3 linked regions of the Oryctolagus cuniculus genome follow. The protein of the gene in region 1 interacts with the protein of each later gene in a pairwise test. Links are inferred from orthologs where the notes say so. Each region holds a gene or a part of one and is shown on either strand. Other genes may lie near its edges.

Evidence for each region.
Region 2: the proteins of EFEMP2 (region 1) and AMMECR1 interact in binary tests that used the Homo sapiens proteins (3 or more experiments, as listed by UniProt). The two-hybrid records come from large-scale screens. The link is inferred for Oryctolagus cuniculus from reciprocal best matches to the Homo sapiens genes EFEMP2 and AMMECR1.
Region 3: the proteins of EFEMP2 (region 1) and STK16 interact in binary tests that used the Homo sapiens proteins (3 or more experiments, as listed by UniProt). The two-hybrid records come from large-scale screens. The link is inferred for Oryctolagus cuniculus from reciprocal best matches to the Homo sapiens genes EFEMP2 and STK16.

The regions. Positions count from the first base shown.
Region 1 is NC_091432.1:5,896,606-5,900,349, reverse strand, and holds the start of EFEMP2 (EGF-containing fibulin-like extracellular matrix protein 2), read right to left. Parts: upstream 2,459-3,744; 5' UTR 2,287-2,458; intron 2,016-2,286; 5' UTR 2,015-2,015; coding exon 1,904-2,014; intron 1,688-1,903; coding exon 1,639-1,687; intron 1,149-1,638; coding exon 942-1,148; intron 494-941; coding exon 371-493; intron 72-370; coding exon 1-71. UniProt on the Homo sapiens protein: Plays a crucial role in elastic fiber formation in tissue, and in the formation of ultrastructural connections between elastic laminae and smooth muscle cells in the aorta, therefore participates in terminal differentiation and maturation of smooth muscle cell (SMC) and in the mechanical properties and wall integrity maintenance of the aorta.
Region 2 is NC_091453.1:83,311,302-83,314,945, reverse strand, and holds part of AMMECR1 (nuclear protein AMMECR1), read right to left. Parts: intron 2,353-3,644; coding exon 2,238-2,352; 3' UTR 1-2,237.
Region 3 is NC_091434.1:20,221,818-20,225,561, forward strand, and holds the start of STK16 (serine/threonine-protein kinase 16), read right to left. Parts: upstream 2,860-3,744; 5' UTR 2,724-2,859; exon of another isoform or gene 2,461-2,723; intron 2,366-2,460; 5' UTR 2,262-2,365; coding exon 2,176-2,261; intron 1,641-2,175; coding exon 1,421-1,640; intron 1,166-1,420; coding exon 1,032-1,165; intron 875-1,031; coding exon 754-874; intron 631-753; coding exon 535-630; intron 177-534; coding exon 55-176; intron 1-54. UniProt on the Homo sapiens protein: Membrane-associated protein kinase that phosphorylates on serine and threonine residues. In vitro substrates include DRG1, ENO1 and EIF4EBP1. Also autophosphorylates. May be involved in secretory vesicle trafficking or intracellular signaling.

The sequences.
Region 1 (3,744 bases):
CTGGCAGCGGAAAGAGCCGGGCAGGTTCACACAGCGGTGCTGGCAGTAGCGGTAGCGGCACTCGTCAACGTCTGCGACGGCGGCGGGGAGGGAGGCCGCGGAAGGCGCCAGTCAGTGGGGCCCCCACTCGAGGCCTCACTGCCCACAGACCCGGATGTCTCTGGGCAGCTGGACGGGGCCAGCCAGCCAGAGGACGCACGCACGCACAGGCACACACACACACACACATGCGCATGCGCACACACACGGTGTCCATGCAGTCCTCTGTGTCTGATGGCAGGAAGGCAGAGGGGGCCGGGGGCTGGGGTGACGCCCGGGGGTGGGCTGGAGTTGGGGGCTCAGGAACAGACAGGCTGCTGGCCGCACTCACCCACACACTCCGGCCCGATCTTGCGGTAGCCATCCGGGCAGGTGCACTCGTACGAGCCAGGCAGGTTGTGGCAGTCCTGGCTGGGCCGACAGTCGTGCAAGGCCTGCGCACACTCGTCCACATCTGCAGCAGACACCCCTGAGCCTCCGCCTGGGGTCGCTCACGCCATCCGGCGAGGCAGGCACCCAGCGTGGGAGGACGCAGTCCAGAAGCCACCACGAGGGCACAGGAGACCCCTCCCACCCGCCCACCAGCCTGGGAGGCAGCAGGAGACAAGGCTCTGTCCACACCCTCAGCCCCCAGCGACCCTGATCCCAGGACACCCCCCGCCAGGGCCCGCGGCTTCCAGGGGTGCAGTCCAGATCAAGGCTCCTGCAGGGTCTCTGCAGCACGTGAGGGGAGGGTCCCCTGGGACTGGCCCCGGACACAGCGAGGGCCTGGATGAGGGGCCGGGCAGCCCCTGGTGGCCCCCAGGAGCCATCAGTAAGGGCTTGGAGCAACGCAAGAACGCGAGCCCAAGTTGCGAGAAGCGTGGCGACAGCATGGGACGCCCGGGCCCAGAGGGACTCACCCACGCAGCTCTCCTGTTCGTCGGGCTCATAGCCTGGCGGGCAGGAGTTGGGGTGCTGAGCGGGGGGCACAGGCGGCGGGGGGCCCTCGCCGTGCAGGTCGTTGATGACGGAAGCGGAGCGCGGCAGACACAGGTAGCCCCCGTAGTGATTGATGCACTTCATCTCGCCCTTGCAGGCCTCGGGGATGGTCAGGCACTCATTCACATCTGCGGGAGGCGGCCTGCTCGGCACAGCCGGTCCCGGGAGGGGGGCCGGCCCCGGGCGGGGCGGGGGGGGCGAGGCAGGAGCCCGCTTGGCCCTCCCTGAGCTCCACAAGCTGAGGCAGCCTGGTGTACCCAGGACCCCTCCCCTCCACACGGCCCCGCCACAGGCTGGAAGTGGGGAAGGGGTTGCCACTGCTGCCCCCACGCTGCCTCCAAGGGGGTCCTGGCCCTGGCTCAGCCGGGCAGTGATCTGCAGCCCCCCCCCCCCCCGTGGACACCGCCCTCCCAGGTTGCGATGGGGCAAAGCCTTCCATGGGACCAGCTGCTCCGGGGCTCCCCCAGTGGCTCTCCCATCTACCCCGGGGGGGGGGGACAGGGTTACCGGGGTTCTTGGAGAGGGAGGGGCCGCCCTGCCCTGCTGGGCTGGGTAGAGCACAGGCCCCCTGGGCTCTGGTCCCTGCTCCTGGGGGGCTGGTCCCCCTGTCACACTCACCCCGGCAGTGCTGGCTGTCTGGGTCCCACTCATAGCCATCGGTGCATTCCTGGAAGGAAACCGGAGGCTGCAGTGGTCACCCAGGGTCCCCTCCAACTGGCCAGGCCAATAGCAGGGCCTGAGCCTGGGCCACCCTCCCAGTCTGTTCCAAACAACGGCCCCCAGCTGCTCTACCGGCCGGGCTGGGGGGGCGAATCTCCCCCAAGAACAGCCTCCGGGGACCCTGGTCTCCCAGTGGTAGGCCACCCGCCCCCGCTGTCCCCACCGTGTAGCTGTCCGGTTCCTCGGAGTCCTGCGGTGACGCTGCCCCCAAGAGCAGCAGCAGCAGCGCCCAGAGCAGCAGAGACCCAGGGAGGCAGGAGGCGAAGGGGAGCATCCTGCGGCCGGGAGGGGGCGGGCGGGTCAGGGGCCTCTGCCACGGCCGCCCCATCCCCCCGCACCGGGCCCCGGCCCCGCCAGCTCCGGCTCAGGTCCGAGCCTGGGGCCCTGCAGCCCCGCAGGACCCGGGGCCCACTCGTTTCGTAGGCCCGGGTTCCGGGCCCACTCCGCCCCCGCCCGGTTCCCTGGCGGTGCGGGCCTCTCGGCCCGGCGGCCGCCGACTCTGCCGAGACTCCGGCCCGCGCCCCCCTCCCACGGGCCGCCACTCACTCGGCCGCGACGCCCCCGCGGCTCCGGCGGCTCCAACAGTGCCTGCGGGCGGACGGACGGGCGGACGGCGCAGCTCCCTGGACGCGCGGCCCCAGGAAGCGCCCCCCGCCCGCCCGCCCGCCGCGGTGCGGCCCACCCCGGCGCCTCCGCCCGCCCTTCGGCGGATTCCTGAGCCCGCGCCAGGGGGAGGGACCCCGACCCCCCGCTTCTCCGCCCCCGGCCGGCGGCCGCAGGCCCCCGCCCGGTCCCCCGCGGCGCCTCCCGGAGCCGCCTCCCGGCGCCGGGCCAGGGTCCCCCAGCGCTCGATCGTGGTGCCATGGACCTGGATGCCAAGCCCCCAGACTCACTCGGGGGGGGGGGCAGGCCCTCATCAGAAACGTCATCCCGCGCACCTGGCTGCTACCTACGCGCGCAGAATTCCTTTCTGCGCACCCACTGCTCAGTCCCGCACCCCCAGACCCTCATTCTGAGCCTCCCCGAAGGTAGGATCCGAGGCCCCACCCAGCCCTGGGGCCTCCATCCCCTCACTCGACCCCCCCAGAATTGTATTCTGTGCCCCCAGACCGTCACTCCAGACGTCCCCAAAACTTCACCCCGGGCCCCCGACCCTCGCCCCGGCACGAGACGCTCCCGGGTCCCGGGAGCAGAGCTGCCCATCTCTCCCTTCTACCCCCCCCCCCGCCCCGCCATCTCCCGCCAGGTGGTCCCTGCGCTCCTGCACGGCCTCCCCCGCCCCCGCGCTCAGCCCTCCAAGCCGAGGTCGGGGGCGGGGGCGCAGGTCCCTTTTGGCCCCAAATGAATGGCAGGCCCCCGCGAAGCAGGGACAGGGTGCACTCGGGGGCCAGGGACGCCAGGCTCCGGTGCCAACGCCTTCGCGACCCTCCTCTCGCCCGCGCCCCCCACTCGGCTTCCGACCCCTCCCCCAGCGGAGGGCGTGGCCGGGGCGGAGCCCGGGAGGGTTCGACTCCCAGGAAGGGGCGGGGCTTCGCGCTGCCCACGTCTCAGGGCTGGGCCAGACGGGAAAGGGCCGCGTGTGCAGGGCTCCCGGCACCCCGCAGGCTGCGAGAGGGAACAGTCGGGTCTTCCCGTCCCTTCCCCATCCCTGCTTGACCCCCCGATCGCCCCCAACTGACCCGGTGGGGCTCAGGCTGATGCATTCCTACCACCTGCCCAGGGGCTGGGGCAAGAAAGCCCGAAGTCCGAATTCTTGAAAACCAAGCGTTCACGAGTGTTGGCGAGGGTGCGGAGAACTCGCAGCCCTCCTAGGCTGCAGCTGCTAACATCATCCGGCTGTGTCCCCAGATGTTACCAGGCAGGTTCGCTCCCAGGTATGCGCCCGGGAGACTAGACGGGCGACAGGTACACACCCGCCCCGGGAGACCGGACGGGCGAAAGGTACACACCCGCCCCTCCCCAGAGACTGGACGGGCGACAGCTACTCACCGAAAGTCTGCTCAT
Region 2 (3,644 bases), on another chromosome or scaffold:
AAACAAAACAAAACAAAAAACTTCTAACCATAAGCTCACCCAGGGTGGTGAGCCTGTTGAACTGATGAGATGATGGACATGATGGATTTCATAACAATGTTGGTCTATCTATTTTGTCTCTTTTCAGTTTGCTTTTTTTTACTTTTTTTTTTTTTTTTTTTTTTTTTTTTTGCAGCAGACAGTATCATTTAGCTTGTGCTCAGTTTCCCTATAAGGGCAAGAGAAAGTTTCCATCAGGTAGCCATTTGTTTTGTTTACTGAAAGACTAATCTGCTTCAAAATGCCCCCAAGTAGAAACAACAGGACTCAAAAAATCCCTTTCCAAAGCCCGATGTTAGCTAACTTATTCTGACTTATCTCTCAGCTCAATAGAACTGGCTACCTAGATTGTATTTCAGGCTAACAATTGGCTTCTTAGTTAAGGCAACTGAAAATAGTTATTTCAACAATGGATGCTGTGGATGAAGGAATACCAACAAACATCTAAGAACTCTCATCAAAAGCTACAGCAGTTTGCTCTGCCCCAGAGGCAAGCGGAAGGAATTTAGCCAATTATATCACAAACTAGAAAATAATTTTTGAATTCTAAACTAGCAGTCTGTCACTTGTCACAGCAACTAAATATATAAGCTGTATCAACTTGATATTCAGTGACATTTCTTGCAGTTTTATAGTATCCATTCTGGGGCATATTTTATCACTTGATATATTTGTTTCCTGTTTTAAAAAGTATGTATTTTCCCAAGTATATGTGTGTGTGTGTGTGTATATATATATATATATATATATATATATATATATTTACTACCAAACAATGAAAAATCGTCTTTCTCTAGAATTTTCTGTTATTTTTCCTGGGGAAATACGTACAGCCCTCCTATTGACATCTGTTAAGTTCTCTTCATATGCATCATGGGAAGACTAGCTCTGCAAATGAGCTGGGCTCTACCTATAGCATTTCTGAATACCAACTCTATTTTTACAGGTCTAATACATGTTAACAACATAGTAAACATGATTCAATCAAGAATCTGTAGTGCACAAAGAGATTCAAACTATTTTATAGTATCTCTAAAACTCTAGTATTATTATATAACCCCATGACAAACATATCTGAAATCACGGCATATATGAATTTATATTTCCTTAGATTATCTTTACCATATCCTTAGATGGCAGCTAAAATTGTATCTGGCCAATGATGATTTATTGAAACCTAAAGCTAACAAATTTAAATTAATATAAAATAGAAAAATGTCTCTTTTTGGTTATTTGCTCAAAATAATTTTTCCATCTTAAAAAAATACTTAAGAGTAAGGAATTTGTCTAATCTGTTGTTTCACATATAGCAACAATAAACTTTTTATAAGAATATTTCTCTAAATTGCCTTTTTCTTACCCCCTCTTAATTCCATTTAATTATATTCTTAAAGGCACTAAATTCTGTATCTGCTCTCTTCTAATATTTGCTGCTCTTCAAAATGGTTTCTGTGGCCTATTTGAAAGGTAACTTGTATTTTCTTAAAACTGTGTTTTAGTTTATAAATTGGTTCTATAAAGTGATGAGGCAATCTCTCCTTTCTATGATAACCAGCACAGTAGGGCATAAAGGATTTTTCACTCTCTGTGACAAGGCCTATCATGGGCCTCTGAATGCTCAAGATTAGAACTAAAGTTCATATGTTTTAACCATGGGAAAAACACATACTTACAGAGTGAAGAACCAAATACTACGCTCTCGTAGCAATGTGAATTTCAGACAAATTCATGAGTAATACACAAATACCTGAAAGTTGATACGAATGATAACCAAATTCTGCTATCAAAAAGTAACTATGTTACTGAGGAAGGCTTGACACAAACCTAAATAAAATCCTTAAACTTCACACTTTCTTCCATCCACAGTCAAAAGAAGGAAGGAAGGGGGGTGAGGACAGAAACCTGACTCAGAAAGAAAAGCAAAATTCTATATAATATTGTAAGGAAAGAAAAACCCAAAAGTTATATATGCTGCAAAAAAAGTCAATGATCTAAAATAATAAAACAGGATCTTCTTAAATGCCATTTCCTATCCGTTACCATGATGATCTTAATTGACTACGTCAAAGTTTCACCATGGCAACGGAAACTATCATCATAAAATGGTACAGTAAAAGAGATAGCTAGACCAAGAAGGTGTAGGGTCTCCTGGGAAGAGGTCTGCAGAGAGGCCCAGTGACTGGTTGTGCGGCTCAGTGTCAGGAATAATGGTTGTATGGTGGAAGGGGATGCCCAATGCCATTTTGGAAGTGATGATGCTGGCGATGAGCAAGGTATTCAGCATAGCTCAGGGTCATCTTTTCACTACGGTACCTGAAAGAAATTCAGGGAAGAGAAAACTTAACATCAAGAAGTAGGTGACATGCCTCAATCAAGGCGAGGAGGGACTTAGAGATAATTGTATAGATCAGGAAACAGAGGCTCAGAGGGCAGCAGTGGCTTGCCCAAATGCACATAGCTAGTACATAGCAAAGCTGGTATCAGAACTCAGGGGTCCAAACTCCACATCCATTCCTTTCTCCACTCCACTACTCCTTGTTTGAACTGTTCTAAAGAGTGCTGGGTATTTTCTAATTTTACTCTCCATGTCATGCTACTCCTTGATCAGTGCTCCTTTGGTATCTGTGTCCACTGTCTTGTGTAGAATGTTTTATCAGAAGGCTGCCCCTGATTCTGCTTGACCTTTTGATGATGATGCCTCTCACACTCCTTTTCCAAAGTTCCCTGGTCCCATGGGCTCTATACCTCCATGCATTCCTGCCTCTCAGATGACTCCTTATCTTTTTTTTTTTATTTGACAGGTAGAGTGGACAGTGAGAGAGAGAGACAGAGAGAAAGGTCTTCCTTCCGTTGGTTCACCCCCCAAATGGCCGCTATGGCTGGCACTGCGCCGATCTGAAGCCAGGAGCCAGGTGCTTCCTCCTGGTCTCCCATGTGGCTGCAGGGGCCCAAGCAGTTGGACCATCCTTCACTGCCCTCCAGGGCCACAGCAGAGAGCTGGACTGGAAGAGGAGCAACCGGGACTAGAACCTAGTGCCCATATGGGATGCCGGTGCTGCAGGTGGAGGATTAACCAAGTGAGCCACGGCACCGGCCCCCCCCTTTTTTGTCCTTATCTTTTTTAAAAAAGATATGTTTTTATTTATTTGAAAGGCAAAGAGAGATCTTTCATGTGTAGGTTCACTACCAAATGGCCACAATGATTGCCTGGGCCAGGCTGAAGCCAGGAGCCATGGAAATGTGGGTGCAGGGGGCCAAGCACTTGGGCCTTCTTCCACTGCTTTCCCAGGTACATTAGCAGGGAGCTGGATCAGAAGGGGAGCAGCCAGGACTTGAACCGGCGCCCATATGGGATGCCAGCACTGCAAGCTGGGGCTGTACTACATATACAGCACCATCCCTGACTCTTTATCTTTTTGACTGCTCCTCCTACCCATTACTGTTTGAATTTTCCTATGTTTCTCTCTTTAGTTCTTTTGAGCCTATACTCAGTCCCCCTCAGTGAACCCTACCTATCCTTTTCCTTACAGCTTCAACTATGGCCCCTTTATAGATGATACTTGAGGATCAACATATAATACATATCATATATATATCATATATAT
Region 3 (3,744 bases), on another chromosome or scaffold:
CAACTCGGATAATAGCAGGGAGACATCCAAAGCGCCTGGTCCCCTCTTGTTCACCTGGGGCTCTGCGGGATGCTGAGTTGGTTCTGCACAGCCAGGGCCACGCTGTCACCCTTCTGGAACACCATGTCATAAGGGCCTTCCCCAAACATCATGGCATAGAGCACACAGCCTAGGGACTGAACGTAACTTGGTTAGTCCCTGAAAGATCAAAGGGGATGGCATCTTTTCCCTTTCTTTTGAGGGGAAAGGAGACCACACAAGCCAAACAGAATAGGCCAACCTGAGCCACACAGAGCTCCCAGGGCCCAGAGAAACCCCCAGAGAGCTGGGCACCTCTGCAGCCCTCACTTCATGGGAGGGAGACCACTTCCTTCAGTATCAGTGACAGTTTGCAGGAAGGAAGTTGAGAGAGATGGCAACAAGCTGCGGTTCCCGGGGCCCCTTGCAACAGAAACCAAAGACCTACTTCTCTGCCTGACAGCACCTCCGAGCCACGCCCCTCCCCACGCAGATTCCCGCCCACATGCTCCTCACCCAGACATCAGTCCGCTCGTCAATAACACAGTGACTCTGCACGGAGAAGAGCTCCGGGGCCCGGTAGGAGATGGTGCACCGCTGGGCTGCCCAGTCCTAGAACGGTGGCCTCAGAGCTCAAAAGCAGGGCACAGGCCAGGGTCAAGTGACCGAACTGGGGCACGTAACAGAAGGGGTCAGGGTGCGGAACAGGTGGGCAAAGGAACCCGAGGCTCTTACTTGCAGGGTCAGGGCCTGGCGGGAGCCCTCCACATGGATGCATGCTTGATTCATGGAACCCAAATCCATTAACACTGGCTGTCCCTCATCGCCAAGCAAGATGTTGGTGGGTTTCAGGTCCCTGCAGAGAAATAGAAAGGACATGTAAGCTGGAATCCTGGGGGGGGGGGGGCGGGGGGCTGATCACAGGGAGAAGAGCAGAGCCCAGAGCCCTCCCCTTTCTCTTGGTGAGGTTCTTGCTCCTGGGCCCCCTGAGCACACAGGGCCCTCCCACTGACCTGTGGGCATAGCCCTTGGCATGAATGGCCTCCAGGCCTCTGCAGATGCCCAGCAGCAGCCGCAGGATTTCATCCTCAGTCAGGAAGTTGCCCTTGTCCTTGAGCCTTTCTATCTCAGCCCACAGCGTCCCTCTCTGCAACAAGAGTTTCCCCACAGCTGGAGACGGTGCCGGAGCCTCTGGTCTCTGGGCCTGATCGTGTGCCTACGTCAATGCCCATCTGCCCTCCTCCGATCACCTAGACCTCAAACCCCCCACTCCCACATGGGCTCCTCTAAAGCTCAAGTCTGAAGCGGCCAGGACCCCCGCTGGCCGGCTCGTTTGACTGCTCACACAGCCCCTGGCGGGTGGCTCTGTGGCAACCCTCTCCACGCCAGGAGCATTTCTGACCTTAAAGAAGGGCAGCAGCAGCCAGGCCTCGTGCTTAGCATCTCGCTCCCTCAGGCAGTAAGCGACGAGGCGCAGGATGTTGGGGTGATGGAAGAGGCGATGCATGTCTGCTTCCCGCTGCGCGTCCTCTCGGTCCTGCTGCTCATGACACAGGATTCGCTTCAGGGCGTAGAAGTGTCCATCATGTAACCCCTCCACTAGGTCCACATAGCTGAACCCACTGTGGGCCAAAGGGGTCAGTGAAGGGCCACGGTCATCTCCCACAGGGCTTGGATTCAGAGGACTTTTCTGGGAGACGGCAGTGTCTCTCCCATTCAGTAAAAACCCTCCCAAGATGCGGCTCTAAGAGAAGGCTGAAGGTTGTTACACCTTGAGCTCCCCCAAAGCAGGCACAGGGAGACCGGGGAGGTGGACGTGGGCATAACACAGCGCTGTGCACCTGTATCAGGTGCTTATGAACCATGCACTGTGTGGGGCGGTCTAAACCCATGACCTCATTTACTCCTCACAACGCCATCAGTGAGGCGGGATAAGCATCTCCATTTAGTGGAGGAAGAAATCAATGGCTTATCAAGGACAAGCGGATGTGGCTCTAGGAGGCGGGGCTCCAGAACCCACTCTCTGGACTACCAGGCACCTAGATGCCATCAGGTGACCCAGAGGTTAGGGATAAAACCCTTCTGCCTCTGTCCCGTGCAGAACGCCGGTCCTCCACGACCATAACCCTGGGGATTAGGTGATTTCCAAACACTCACCCCTCCCCCAGTTTCTGGATGAAGAGGTAACGCTTATTGTCAATGATGACCGTTCCCCGAGAGCAGACACAAAGCGCGTGGCCCATAATGTCTCAAACATCCTCCTCAAGGACGGGCTGCAGCTGCCGGGGGACTGGTCCAGGGTGAGTGGGCTCTTCCGGGCGAGGCGCCGCGGGCCCAGTGGCTCATGCTGGAAGGAAAACAAACGGCAGAGTCGCGGGTCCGGCACAATCCTCACGACCCCTGAAGGACCAGCGCGGAGAGCTTAGGCTCAGGTCTCGGAACCTGGATCTCCGTGTAGGGAAAAAGGGTCCTGACAACGCCAGCTCCAAAAAGGCCGCAGTCAGGTGCCTTAAAGCCCCAGGCCACTTCCTCCAACCCCAGTCCACCTTTGGGCGGGCCCTTTCCCACGCCCGTCGGTCCCCAAAGGAGGGCGGGCATAGAGTAGTTCCCGAGGAGGTGCGAGCCTCCGGCCCACCTCTTGCAGAACCCACCCCCAACCTCAGAGCGCGGAGCCCGGGATCGATCAGCTCGGACGTCCCACTGACCTGGCCCGGGAGGGAACTCAGCCAGAAGCCGGAAGCGGCGTCTACGTCATCAGTCCGCGCCGGCGTAACGGCCCGCGGTATCCTAGCAACCGCTGGGCATCCCGACGATGTGGGGGCGCGGAACCGAGAGGCCGGGGGCGGGCTAGGCCTGCAGGTGCACGGGTCGCGGGACCCGGGTGAAGGTTCCCTACCTGGCCTTCAGTAGGGGTCAAGACGCAGGCGTCTGCGCCAAGGGGGGAGCAAAGCCGGGCTCGGCCCGAGGCCCCCAGGACCTCTATCTCCCAATGTCCGAGGTAGGAGGCCTCATACCTCCCGTGCGCTGGGTCCAGAATGCGCCCAACTATGGCCCATCCCTGAGGGCGGCCCCGGGAGGGGCCGGTGACCTTCCAAGCCCTGCTCACGAACCTCACTGCCAGTTTCTAGACAGGGGGTCTTAGTAACCTACCTGCTGTGTGACCTCGACCAATTAGCCTGTTGGATCCTAGTTTTCTGTAGCTGTAAAAATACATGTAATAGTGCCTAATATTTAGTGCATGAACTGCGAGGCTAATTCAAATCCCAGCTAGACTAAACTAGTTGTGGGAGCTCAGGCAGTCTACCTGACATGTCTGTCCTTTAGTTTGTTCATCTGTAAAGTGGGAACGGTAACAGTGTTACATAACCCTCAGTAAGTGTCTCGCAACAGGAATGATAGTTACTACTACTCCGCTCCTCACATCCCAGGCTTGGGACTATGAGGGCAGGAGGGTTGGAAATCCCCAAATTCAGCCTTGGCATCAAGCAGTTGTCACTGACATCTCTTGCCTAAATGGGCAAGGATAAGCTGGAGAGGGCGCACACTTCCAGAGAGGATGGGATGGCCAGGATGGGCTCTCCAGGAGAAGGGTTCAACTTGTGACCTGGTTTCCCCCTGCCATAGCTCTGATCACCATGAAGATTTTCCTATGGTTTCCCTTGGTACTGACCCTGTTTTCCTGCGTGTTCTGACATTCTGTCATGTAGATTTAACCTGCTCTGTGTC